2 linked regions of the Mus musculus genome follow. The protein of the gene in region 1 interacts with the protein of each later gene in a biochemical or structural test. Links are inferred from orthologs where the notes say so. Each region holds a gene or a part of one and is shown in the gene's direction. Other genes may lie near its edges.

Region 1 (7,559 bases):
AGATGAAGAAATCTCATTTGGGAAAAACTGCTACCGGAATGCCTGTAAGCAAGTCTGAGGGACTTATTCTTGATTGGTGTAGGAGGGACAAGCTCACTGTGGGCAGTGCCGTCGCTGCGCAGCTGTACAAAAATGCAATCTGAGCAAGCCATGGAGGCGAAGCAGTAAGCCACATTCCCTATTTGGTCTCTGCATGGGTTCCTGCCCTGCTTGAGTTCCTACCCTGACTTCCCTCGATGATGGTAAGATGAAATAAACCCTTTCCTCTAAATTGTTTCTGGTAGCGGTGTTCACCACAGCAACAGGAATCAAACCTGTTGGCCCAGGAGTCTTGGTTCACACAACAAAAGTCATCTCATGCTGCATTCCTCAAAAGACATTCCCACCCTTAAGTAATGCTATGCCTACTTCTCCCAATCATTATCTTGATAGGTACCAGTATCTTCCACCTCTTAAGGGCATAGAAATTAAAGCTCGGACAAGTTCAATAACGCGTCCACTTGGATGTCAGTTATAAGTGGCGGCATCAAACTATGAACTCACATTTATGTCCCAGAAGTGAAAATTAGGTGATAGAAATATGAGGATTTTTATTAAGAAGAGAAATAGATCAACCATAAAAATGCAATGCCTATCAAAGTACTGAGTGGAGAGTAGTGGGGAAGGTGACTGAGTAGATTAGGAGGTGGGAGATGTGAGAGGCACAAAGCAGGGGAATGGGAAGGGAGTGGACATGGTACTTAGCTGAGCTATGCTGAGTAAAGATGGGCTGAACCCAGGAAGGACAGCCACAGGGTAAATGGTGTGAGCCAGCGTTCAGGACCCTTTCACATAGAAGCCGCTGCCGCCTACGCCACAGCTAGCACCAGTGGATAAGTCGGTCTGGAAGGGGAAATTAGGCTATCGGATTTAAATTAAAATGTAGAGTGCCAATAGATTAGAAAACTTAGGGCTGGGGATGCAACACAGCTGAAAGAGTGCTTGTCTAGCACATGAGAGGCCTTGGGCTCCATTCCCAGGTCTTCATAGAACTAAGCATGGTGGTGAATGCTTATAATCCCAGCTCTCAGGAGGTGAAGCGGGGAAGAAGTTTAAGGGCAGCCTGGACTACATGAGACTCTATCCCCCAAATACACACACACACACACACAATCTAGAAGGTTTTTAATGTCCATAATGCACACATAGATAATAGGAAATTGTCCAATGATTAAGAAAAACATAAACACTAAAAAAAAAATGGGGAAAGTTTTCCAATTCAGGTTAAATGTGAAATGGGCCTCTGTACTGTGAAGGATAAAATGGTCAGTATCTGGTATGTGCCAGTCATTGAATTGAGTGTTTTAACAGTAACAAATATTTTCATCCTGGCAATAATTCTATATAATATAATCCAGTTCCATTTTAACTGGGGAGGGACAGAAATCAACTTAGTAAAGTCATAAAACCAAACCTAGCAGATCTTTCTGAACCCACACTCATACTTAGTCATTACACCCATGAACTCTGAACTTAAACTGGACTTAAAAAAAAAAAAAACCCTCAGTGATTGGATGTACTAGAACATGGTGAGAATCTGGTCATTCAAAGGACTGCTGCAGAAACCCCTGCTGTCTGATGAAAAAACTAAAGGCAAGATAAACTGGGCAGGAAAGGCTTGTATCGCAGAACTACCTGACTGGCTACAAGTTGTTTGTTCCTGTGCCAAACAAGCCTATAGTTTCCAAAGGGTTAACAGCCTTTGCTATGGATGAGGTGAGGTGAGAGTTTAAGAGTGGGTCCTGTCAAGCTTAGTCTAGATCAGTGGTTCTCAACCTTCCTAATGCTTTAATACAGTTTCTCATGCTGTAGTGACCCCCAACCGTAAATTTCTGTTGCTACTTCATAACTGTAATTTTGCTACTGTTATGAACTGGAATGTAAAATCTGTGGTTTACAATGGTCTTCTTAGTCGACGACTGTGAAAGGGTCATTTGACTACTCCTCCCACCCCCACCCCCTCTCCAGGAGTCATGACCTACAGGTTGAGAACTGTTGGTCTATATAATCCAGGGGAACTGCTTAGAATATGAACATTGTGTGTGACAGTCTGATCTGAGGACACCACACCATTACTGCTAAGATAAAATATCCCCAGGATCTAATTAGTTAAAATACACTAGAAGTATTTGGGTTTTGCTGCTCAGCTATTGTGGAGCCGAGGATGGACCCAGAGCTTTAGGCATGCTAGAACAGAGGCCCACCACCGAACTGCACCGTTGAATCCTCCGATAAGAAAATCGAATCTTTTTAAAAGTCTCGAAAAGATTTCGGTCAATTCCCTTATGAGTATCTGAATCTCTGGCTCCATTACTTCCCTCTGGCAAACCCCTCCACTTGCAGAGGAAGCGTCTGAGGTTGCCCAATGGGCTGAGCTGGTGGCCTCTTGGGGGACTCCGCACACTCGCAAGCCCAAAGGTCTGCTGAGAGCGGACGCGCGTAGGGGCGCCTCCGGGAAGCGCGTGCTACCCTCTCCGGTGTGAGGTAAGCATCCTCCCACGGTCCCGGGAAGCTCCTACGCCGCAGGCTTCCTAACTGTGCCAGTTCCTCCGCCGCTTCCTCCAACACACCCACCCATCCCATCTCTTCCTGCTCCACTGACTCTGAAGCGGCAGGGGACGTGCGGCCTCACGCCCCGCCCATACTATGCCCCGCCCCCAAGGCTAGCATTTCCCCAGTGACCGAGGCAGCGGTCCACAGCCCGAAGTCAAGCCCCGCCCTTGCCTCCCGGCCCGGGTCGCTACAGGTGAAACTGTTTGTTCTGATGAGCTTGCCCCGCCCTATGCCCCGCCCCCGAACTCTTCGCTCCTTGCCAGTGGGGAAGCGCCACCCAAGCCCCGCCCATACACTAGCAGGCAGGACCCGCCCCCGGAGCCCGCCCCTCTTCTCCGCTGGCGCCCCGCGCGGCTTCACAGGGGGAACCTGTTTCGCAGCCCGGGAGCAGTGCTTCTTCCTGTGAGGGCCTCGCCGTGCAGCCACTTCTCCTTCCGCTCCTGCGGCTCCCGGGACGGCGAGAGGCAAGCGGAAGGTGCGCGAACGCCGAGGCCTGAGGTGACCGGCGGGAGCTGGGCAGTCGAGGCCACCGGCGTAGCCATGTCGCTGTGGGGGCAGCCGCTGCAGGCCTCACCTCCCCTGGCCGTGCGGCAGCCCCCTACCGCGTCCTCGGGACCTTCGACCTCCCCTCCAGCCGGCGCAACCCTCAACCGCCTGCCCGAGCCGCTGCTGCGGAGGCTCAGCGAGAGCTTGGACCGCGCTCCGGAGGGCCGGGGCTGGCGGCAGCTGGCCGAGCTGGCGGGCAGTCGGGGACGCCTCCGGCTCAGGTGAGCGGGACCGTCAGGCGGGCGGAGGGGTGTGCTCCGTGGTACGGAGTCGCGTGAGACCGACTTGGGCTCCGGAGTCGGGAAGGGACTGGCCCTAATGGCCCAGTGGCCCCTTCATATCTTCCCGACCCTCCTCCGCCCCTGAAGCTGGAAAGCGATCTCTGCAAGTTCACAGGTTTGTGTTAAGTGTAGGGACGCTTATCTGCAGGGTTGTAATCCAGTGGGGTTTAAAGCAAAAAACAGAGATGTGGACCCAGCCCTCGGTACCCAAAGGGTGGTCTGGAATGACTCCGGTAGGTAAAGAGGTGAAGCGTGCAAGGGTTCCTGGAGGAAGAGACTGGATCTAAACTCATCGTCGTCTACAGTCCCACGAGTTTACCAGTCTTCACTATGAACATTAGACTCTTAAGAAATTAAACGACTTTCCCGGCTGAGAAAAGAGACCACTGACGTGACTTGGGGCCACAGTCAGTGTTTCTTAAAATCTGGGATCTCAAGACTTCTCCCCTCCTGAGAATTATGGAAGACCACAAATAACCTTTGTGTGCCTTCTATATATTTTGCAGGTGTGCACGGATATTCTACTTGAAAGTCAAACTATTAACTCTTAAAATATTTATCTTAAAAGTAATTCTTGCGTGGTAGCAGAAATGATGTCAGGTTTTTTTTTTTTTTCTTCAGAAAAAGTTTGTCCAAAAAACAAATAGAGCATTGGTTAACATTTTTTAAATCTGTTGCTTTGAAGTTTTTGTTTGGTTGGCTGGTTGGTTGGTTGCTTTGGTTTGGTTTTTTGTTTTTGGTTTTTGTTTGTTTGTTTGTTTTTGTTTTTAAACAAGATCTTGCTATGTAGTTTAACCTGTCCACAGATTTCTCTGTCCTCCTGTTTCAGTCTCCCTAATGCTGGGATTTCAAACTGGCATCATATATTGAAGTCTTTTTCTTCTTGGTTTTTGAGACAGGATCTCACTGTATATAGCCTGAGGTGGCCTGAACACTATCATCAACCAGTCTGATCTGGATCTTGTAGCAGTTTTCTTACCTCAGACTGCTGAATGCCTTGTACATCTTTATGGTGCCTTAATTTAATTGCAGAGCTATATTCTTTTCTATATTTGATTCATTCTATTACAGTGTCATAAGTATCAGAACTCTAGAAACTTCTCTTTTAAGAATAAATAGAAAATAGGGTCTTAGTACTATTATGAAAAAATGCTTTACCCTTATAAACAACCTTGAAAGTAGTCTTAGGAACTACACTAGGTGTTCCCTGACAGAACTTTGGACCACTGCTTTGTACCGTTGTCAAGATTTCAGCCTGTCCTTTAACTTCTCTAATTTCTTGTCAAATAACTAAGCTTTGATTTTTACTGTAATTATTTGTATACATCTTTATAAGCTTAGGGACAGAAGTCATTTCTTATTTTGTGCTAAGAACTTCTCTTAGGCAAATACATTTTAAGTAGAGAGAGGAATCCTTTGTTCAAGATTGTATTTGTTGAGTGCTTCTTATTAGCTGGAAGTTCTAATCAACCATTATTTGGGTGCAATCACAGTATATATCTATATGGTGCTGTTTAAAAGCATTATCTACTTTAACATTCCCGACAACTGTGAGCTTCAGAGTTTAGGATTGAGGTGAAGAGTATAATGTTGCTGTAGGATTATTGCTCAAGTAAAAAAGGCTCATGTTGCCTGACTTTTAAAAAAATCAGAAAATGACAACTAAGCTGGACACATACCTATAATCCTAGCACTTGGGAGGTAGAGGCAGGAGGATCAAGGAGTTCAAGACCAGCGTCAGGTACACGAGACTCTGTCTCGGAGAAGAAGTCAGATAAACAGTGAACTAGCAAAGCTGAGCAGACAAAGGACATGAGTTCTGTACTGGGAAAAATACCTTGGGCTTTGGGTTTTACAAAGTAGGTCCAAAGTATCATTCAAGCTCCATAAATTTCTCAACTTCTAGACTTTCATAATACAAGAAATCGTTTCCTTTGTGGGTAGATCTGCAGAGTATTCCAGTGTTAATTGTAAAGCCAGTTATGGAAGGCCCTAGACTTCCTGGAGAGAGCCTAGATGGTGATGAAGACTAAAAGTCAATATACCAAGCCCTGCCTAAAAGAAGCATGACTACTAGACTACAAACGGTTTGGGTACTTAGTGCTGGGTATTAAGTTTCTCTTCTTAAGCCTTCAGTACCATTTTGCTAAGTAAACTGTAGTGTTAACTGTTTTGGGGGGAGGAACTTAGAGAAAAGTTTGAAGCCACTTTAGGAGGAGTAGTATGGAAAGAAGGCCAGTTACTTATTGTTCATTTTTAGAATCTTAGAATTCAAGGTAGAGAGTCTGATACAGTGTTTTATTTAGTTTATATAAAACTATGTTTAGTTTCATGAGTCTTCCAAGATGGTGTTAGATAGCTCTGTGTGGGTTAATTGGGGGTGGGAGGAGTGGAGAATCTGGAAGTACTAAACTCATATCAATTGAGATTAGAAGAATCAGTTGCCATTAAAAGTTAGTACTGAAAGCCAGGCATGGTGGTGCACACTAATCCCAGCATTCAGGAAACAGAGGTAGGCAGATCAATGTGAATTCTCTGCCAGCCAGTGCTACATAAGACGCTGTCACAAAAACAATAACAGAAGTTAGCACTGAAAACCTGGGGCTGGAGTATATGAGCCAAAGGGATATGCAGGGTCAGCTGGTGATTGTTATTATTATGTCTAGTATTGTTTGAAAAGTTCAAATGACTTCATACTAATGAAAGGAAGGCATCTGATGGTAGACGGTCATAAAGGCCTTCTCCTCTGATTGCAGTGTGAGCGTCTGCTTGAGGGTGTGTAACAAGTCAGGGGAGAATGTGAATTACTTTTCTAAGTCGTTGAATTCACAGCCCTAATCTCAAAATTTTGCCCTTTGTGTTTATTTTTCTCTTTCTTTTTTTATCGGCTTGAGACCAGGTCTTACTTTCATAGACCAGGCTAGCCTCAAAGTTATCATGATCCTCCCCCCTCTGCGTTTTGAGTGCCACCATGCTCAGCCTCTTGCCACATTTTTTCCCTCGGCCTTTACATCTTTCTTTAAATTACATGAGAATTTAATAATACAAATCATAGTAAGAGTCCATTCTGCATTGTCCTCAGAGATTAGGAATATTGAAAATGTTTTTACAGTTGATTAATGATGTGATTATTGGTGAGATTATTGATGATTCAGATTGAATCGTTGCATGTACTCTAGTTTCCAATAACTACTGACCCTGATTCTGTTCAAACTGATCTAATATCAGGTACTTTAAATACAGGATTTCTATTGCCCTAGCTAACCTGGATCTTGTTATCTAGACAGAGCTAGCAGTGAACACAAAAGAGATCTTCCTCTGCCCTTAGGTGCAGAAATTAAAGGCATGTTCCACGCTGTTTGGATAAAATTGGATGCTGCCTTCTTCCAGTTTAGACATACTCTTAGTGTGCCAACATATGTTAATTGGTGGTGAGTGGAACGGCTAAACTACAAGGATTGGCAGAACTTTCAGAAAGCTTAAAGTATCTAAATCCTCTAAGCAGAGCGCTTGAGAGTGGGGCTGTGAAACATGAACCGAGGGGAAACCATCTGTTGCTGCTTGTCTGCAGTGTAGAAGATGCTCTTTAGTTGCAGAAGTCCTACCCTCCAGCAGATGATGATAAAAATGGAAACATATTAAAAAGATGAATGAGAGTGTCTCCCATTATCTGTCTCATCAGTCTGAATTTTGAAGTGTGCAAGAATTCATGCTTTTATTTCTAAGTGCTTTTCTACCTAATCTCCTAATACTATCCTTCATTCAGGATTTTGAATACAGTCAAGCTCATTACAATGAGAAATATCTGCTTTTCCCAGATATATGTATGTAGGTGGCTATTGCCCTCTCCTCAAGTGATTAATAGGCATCTTAAATGTCACATGTCCTATACTTAATAGGTACTCTCCTGTAAACCTCTTTCCCTTATTTTTCTGTATCTAAGTAAATCACTACATCTCTCCAGTTGTTCAGACCAGAAAATCCAGTTGTCCCTGATTTTACTTGTATACATATCAGTTTTGTCAGTAATTCCTGATTGCTCTATGTCCAATATATATTTAGAATATGGCAACCACTGCCATACAAGGTTAAGGTTAAGCCTACATATCTCACCCAATTCCTTCTATTAGTTTCTTGATT
Region 2 (5,960 bases), on another chromosome or scaffold:
CTCAAGAGCCTAACTGTCCATACCAGGAGCAGGGCCTGCTTACCCTCTCTAGGAGAATGACAGCCATTGGGGGTACTCACTACACCTTCCCAGACTGTAGGATCAGCAGTGCTGCAAGGAGGCACTGGCCCAACCCCAGGTTGCTTCAGGCTCCACCTACTTCTCCCTGCTGAGTCAAGCAGGGATGGTGCCTCACAGGTAGGTATCATACCCACTCTCCTTGCTGGGCTCCCCTTCCACCTGCTGACCCAGTGCTCTCAGAAGACAGCTAATGTGATCCCCAGGGGGCTGCTGCATGTCCCCAGCCTTTGTCTCATGCTCTGCCACAGCCTCACCTCTAGCCCCAGTCTCTCAAGTCCTTTCTGGGACACAAGTACCTTCAGGATACAATTGGTGGTGTTCCCAGGCACCCCTTACCGCCTAGTCCTGAGGCTCTGCCCACTGGTACATCATGGCAAGGAGACTTCCTTCACTGGACCAAGACCTGTGAAAACATGACTGTATCCTAGCCACTCTGGTGCCATTTGCTTTCACGGACATCTGGACATATCCAGTGCCCTTATTGGGGTACTGGTGGATGGGTCTCTATTAACCCTTCGCAAGTCTGTCTGGGCAAACAGCACAAAACAGTTCTGTGTACACAGTAGGACCAGCATTCCATGGCAGTTCTGAGGAGCTCACAACTTAGCAGAATTCTAGGTAGTGTTGGGCACAGTGGTTATTCCCCATCCTTGATTTTGAGAGGTCAATCCAGATTTAAAAACTTTCAGCTAGCCTGGGCTACAAAACAAGACTTGGCATAGTGGCACACACTTGTAATCCTGGCACTTGGGAGGTGGAGGCAGAAGGGTCAGGACATCAAAGTCATCCTCACTGCTTTGAGTTGGGTCTGAGGGGCTGGAGAGATGGCTCCTCTGTTACAGGCTAGGCTCACAACCAGAAATAGAAGCTGGGTCTGAGGCCAGCCTGGGCTATTTAACACCTTGTTTGAAAGAATAAAAAATGGAAAACACCATGGATGCACCATGTACTGTCCCCAACTTTGAGAACAGTGTCCAGCATTGTTGCTGTGTGTGTGTGTGTGTGTGTGTGTGTGTGTTCACAACAGCTCTTTGAAGTTTGTGATATTCTGTACCTCCAGATGAGAAACTCAGTTGTTTTTTTTTTTCCCAGCTGGCCATGGGATCACACACATTTAATCATGGTACTCAGGAGTCAGAGGCCAGCCTGGTGTATGTACCCTAACAAGTATTTAGTAGTTTGAATAGTGCAGGTGCATGGAAGACCTGTGTCAAGAGTCAACTAGACTACCTCCTTAAGTCTTTAAAGCCATCCTGTTAAGAAACTCAAGTCCAGAGTGGTGAAATCAGTTGCCTGGAATTGCATAATTGTCCAGGAAACCTAGTATTTGAACACAGGATATTTGATTCAGGACCTTCCAATTACAACTCTCTTGAGAGAGATTGCTTGTCTTTTCATTCAGGGTCTTGCTATAAGTAGTCCAGACTGGCCTAGAACTCGTGGTGATTTCCTGCCTCAGACTTTCAAGTGTTTTAAGTTACTCGTGTGAGCTGTCATACCTGGCTCTCAGTTTTGCTTTTGAATTCACAGTCGTGTCTCAGATCCAGGCAATCAACACAGGTCCTCCAACATGCTAGGCAGGTGCTCTACCACTAAGCCACACCACCAGCCCAATTTTCCCCCTCTTCTCCCCCTTCTTTTTTGTTTTATTTTGTTGGTTTGCGTTGAGACAAGGGCCTGCTATGCAGTGGAACTCACTACTTGTCAGTGGATCTCCTGCCTCTGTCTGTCCAGAATGGGCATATTGTGGCTACAATATCTTTCTGTGTGCTGCTGAGAACACAGCCTAGAATCTCATACATGCTAGACAAGCATTCTATCACAAGCCACATCCTCAGCACTACAGTTGGAAAACCTCAAGGAAAGCAGTGATTGGTGTGTGTGTGTGTGTGACTGGCAAGCTTATTCTATGGGAGATGTCCACTCCTGGGCTTGCTTATGACACTGGAACATTTCCCTCTGGTACAAAGTGAAAAAGAATATGATTCAGTGTGAAAGTTACATGATATTCCCATTTCTATATTTATCAAATTATGTTCTAATAGAACATAGCCACATCCCTGTTTCTGGTCCTTGGCTGTTTATGTAAGATGGCACATTTGAAAATTAAGACCATTTGGTTCTCAAAGCCTGAGCCTAATGTCTTTCATTGCAAGAAAAGGTTTGCTCTAAGCTGGACGTGATGGTAGGTGCCTGGGATCCCCAGGACTCAGGCTGAAGCAGATGGATTATCATGAATTCAATGTCAACCAGAGCTACATAGCAAAACCAAAACAATGCTCTTTGCTTTGGTGTGCAACAGTAGATACCGGTGCCACATCATTCACTGCTGCAGTTTTCTGCCTCTGGAGCAAGAAGTGGGCCTGGTTTTAGTAATGCTGTACCCTAGTTTTCATTACAGGCTGCAGCATATGGCAAGTGCTTAATTATGCGTAGGTTGCTTGAATCATTGATCACACATGCTATGATAGAAGGGGAATGGAACATACAAGTTTCTATAGGTTTCTATAGGTTATAGGTGCCATATATCACCAACGGGCTGGGACTGTAGCTCAGTATTCATGAAGCCCTGGGTTCAACACTCAGTGCTGCATAGACTAGGTGGTGGTTCATGCCTGTCGTCCCAGCACTGTGGAGGGACGAATCTGAAGGATCCATGGGGGCAAAAGGATCTGCAGTTCAAGGTCATCGGTCTGGGCAAGATGAGACCCTATGTAAATTTTACTTCAAACAAATTATCAATGGCTGCTAACTTCCCACTCCTGGCTTCATTTGCCAGCCTGAAAGATAGCAGGTTCAAGCCCTCGTAGGGGAAATGGAATGCCCATTTCTCAGCTTGTTCTGTGGGTAGGGCGCAAGTGGACCCGGACGGACCTCAGTGGTCTTGGCCAAGGCAATGGGCAGCGACTCGCACCCGGACCCTGCGAAGTGCCAAGCCTTCGCTTCCCGGCCGACCCCGCCCCCGCAGTCACGTGAGCAGCGGGGGTTTTCCCATTCCCTTTGACGTGACGTCACGGAGGGGTACGAGCCAATGGGTGCGCAGGCCGGCGGCGCCGGGGAATTCCGCCGCCCCGCCCCCGCCCGCCGCCCGCTCGGCCCGGCGCCCCCCGCAGCCCCGGGCGCCGTGCGTCCAGCCCGGCCTTCGGCCCTAGCCTTGCACCGCTTGCCCGGCCGGTGATCGTCCCAGCCGACCGGGCTGTCCGACTGCCCGGCTTGCCCTCGTGTGCGCTCGCCCTGAGCTGGCCTTCGGGCTGTCGGTCCCTACGGGCCGGGCCATGCCGAGTCGCCGCGCTGCCAGAGAGTCCGCGCCCGAGCTAGGGGCCTTGGGTAAGCAGAGTGGAACCTCTGGGGCGGGGCTCGGGCTCGGGGAGTTCGGGGCGCTCGGAGTCATCTGCGGGTTTCCGCAGGATTCGCGCTTCGGTGCGGAGAGTACAAGGGTGGCGGGGACACTGCGCGAGGGATAAGGCAGAAGGTAGAGGATGGTGAAGGGTCTTGCCGGGGAGATACAGGCTAGGCGTCCCGCTAAGGAGTGAGAAGGGGGCGGGGCCTGAGCCTGAGGCAAAGAAGGGGGCGGGCCGGGCGGCGGTCGAGAGGAGGGGCGGGGCATAACTCTGAAGGGGAGGAGCCATACACACAGGGGCGGGGCAAACTCAGAGGAGGCTTCTGGTTTACAGAGTGGGTGAGGCTGCTCTTAGGAGTAAGGGGCGGAGCCTAATTCGAGGAAGTGGCTTTATTCTCTCCAAACAAGGGGGACCCTTCTCCCGCAAGGCTTAGGCCTTTAGAGGCAAAGAAAGAGGCGGGGCCCAGCTTCAAGATTTAAGGAGGAGCGGTGCCTGACCTCGAGGAGGAGGATCCAGGACTGTGCTTGACAGGAAATAGGGGCGGGGTCAGGCTCCAAGAGCAAGAAGAGGTGTGTGGCTCAGTGAGTGGGCGGGACTTACCCTTGGGTTGGGGTGGGGGAAAGTGGGGCGTAGTGGCAGGTCTAGGGAAAGGGCAGGGCCTGTTTAGAAAACGAAGGGCGGGGCCTGACGATGGGATTGAAAAGGGGCGGGGCCTGCAGCGAGATGGGGGAGAGGAAAGTTCTCCAGTGACGAAGTATTGGGGCTCGGATTTCGCCCTGAGGGAAGAACGGAGACGGGGGTTTTCCTGAGGCATCAGGAGTCCTCCAAGTCCCACCTTAATGGGGAAAGTAGCGGATATTGAGTGATGATTGGCGGAGTCAAAGGCAGAAACGAAAAGCCAGAACTTTTTTCAAGAGTTAGAGAAGAGCCGGTTGTGGTGGCGCACTTGGGAGGCAGAGGCAGGCGGATTTCTGAGTTCGAGGCCAGCCTGGTCTACAAAGTGAGTTCCAGGACAGCTCAGGGCTATACAGAAAAACACTGTCTCGAAAAACCAAGAAAAAAAAAAAGGAGTTAGAGAAGGCTGGCCTGCACCTGAGCTCGGTAAGGAGGAGGGACTTTATTCAAGGGACCAAGCCAGAGAGAGGAGCAGGCTCATCAGAGTCTCTGGTCCTGCATTGTTTGTTAATCCAGGTCTCCATCTCACAGGTTCCAGTGACCTCTCTTCCCTGTCACTAACGGTCTCCAGGACCACAGGTGAGCAACCCCCACAGCCCCTGCCCACCTGCTTGTAGGAAATGGGATTGGAGGAGCCCCCGTGGAGAGGGAATGAGTGTACCCACTTTGCAAGCTTTGTCTGTTGGTACTCTGTCTGTACTCCACCCCCACATTTCTCTGGCAATAGCCAGGTAGTCCTGGCTCACTATAAAAGGGGCTGATGCATCCCCTCCATCTTGCTCCCTTGCTCCCCTCTCTCCCCATTCCCTTTCCCCTTCTCTCCACGTGGTCATGGCTGGCCTCTACTTCTCTACTTCTCTCTGCCTTTCTCTGCTTCTACTACTCTCTTTTTTGTTTGTTTTGTTTTTCGAGACAGGGTTTCTCTGTGTAGCCCTGGCTGTCCTGGAACTCACTTTGTAGACCAGGCTGGCCTCAAACTCAGAAATCCGCCTGCCTCTGTCTCCCAAGTGCTGGGGTTAAAGGCGAGCGCCACCACGCCCGGCTTCTACTACTCTCTTAACTCCCCTCCCCATGCCCTAAATAAACTCTGTTCTATACTATACCGACCTTCAACCTTCGAGTGGCTGGTCCCTCAGGGAAGGGATGCCTTGGCATGGGCCCACGGAGGCACCCCCTTCCCCCATACCTCACCACACACCTTAAAACATATATTAGTACCCCTTTTTCATTTTATAATCACAGCGTTGTCTCTCCCTGTTTTATTCCTTACGTGCCCATATTGTCAAGACTGTTAGAAGCTTGTATAGTTCTATTTGCTGACCCCCTAAGTAAAGGCTCTTTTAGATGTTCTCCATCATCCATTATTTTGGGCCTTGGAACTGAATTTCAGACATGATGTTACCACCCCCTCACGTGATTTCCCTAAAACTACCTCAGTTTTATTCATCTGTTTCATACCCATTTGTTCCTTTTTGGAGATAGAGAAAGTTAAATGAGTTGATGCTTACAAATTCATAGCCTTCCAGTTCATAGTAGCTGTTAGTGGCATAGTCATGATAATAAGAGTAATAATAGCAGTTAGTTAGACTATCATAGTTCTCAGACCATGTCCATTTAAATTATCTAGACCCTTGGTGAAGCAGGGAGAGGGAGCAGGCAGTGATGGTCTATTCCTTTATACTCAGGCAGATCTCTGTGAGGCCAGCCTGGTCTACATAGTGAGGCAGGCAGATCTCAGTGAGGTCAGCCAGGGCTACATAGTGAGTTCCAGGACAGCCAGGTCTACAGGAAGAGACCCTGCCTCAACAACAACAACTATTGCCAGTAAAAGCAGTACATGCCTATACTGTTCTGTAATGTTCC

Evidence for each region.
Region 2: of the proteins of Malt1 (region 1) and Relb, one has a biochemical effect on the other in vitro, tested with the Homo sapiens proteins (2 studies listed by BioGRID). The link is inferred for Mus musculus from reciprocal best matches to the Homo sapiens genes MALT1 and RELB.

Annotation. Positions count from the first base shown.
Region 1 is NC_000084.6:65,428,040-65,435,598, forward strand, and holds the start of Malt1 (mucosa-associated lymphoid tissue lymphoma translocation protein 1 homolog), read left to right. Parts: upstream 1-2,950; 5' UTR 2,951-3,132; coding exon 3,133-3,359; intron 3,360-7,559. UniProt on the Homo sapiens protein: Protease that enhances BCL10-induced activation: acts via formation of CBM complexes that channel adaptive and innate immune signaling downstream of CARD domain-containing proteins (CARD9, CARD11 and CARD14) to activate NF-kappa-B and MAP kinase p38 pathways which stimulate expression of genes encoding pro-inflammatory cytokines and chemokines.
Region 2 is NC_000073.6:19,626,639-19,632,598, reverse strand, and holds the start of Relb (transcription factor RelB), read left to right. Parts: upstream 1-3,160; 5' UTR 3,161-3,356; coding exon 3,357-3,408; intron 3,409-3,804; exon of another isoform or gene 3,805-3,991; intron 3,992-4,117; exon of another isoform or gene 4,118-4,523; intron 4,524-4,628; coding exon 4,629-4,676; intron 4,677-5,960.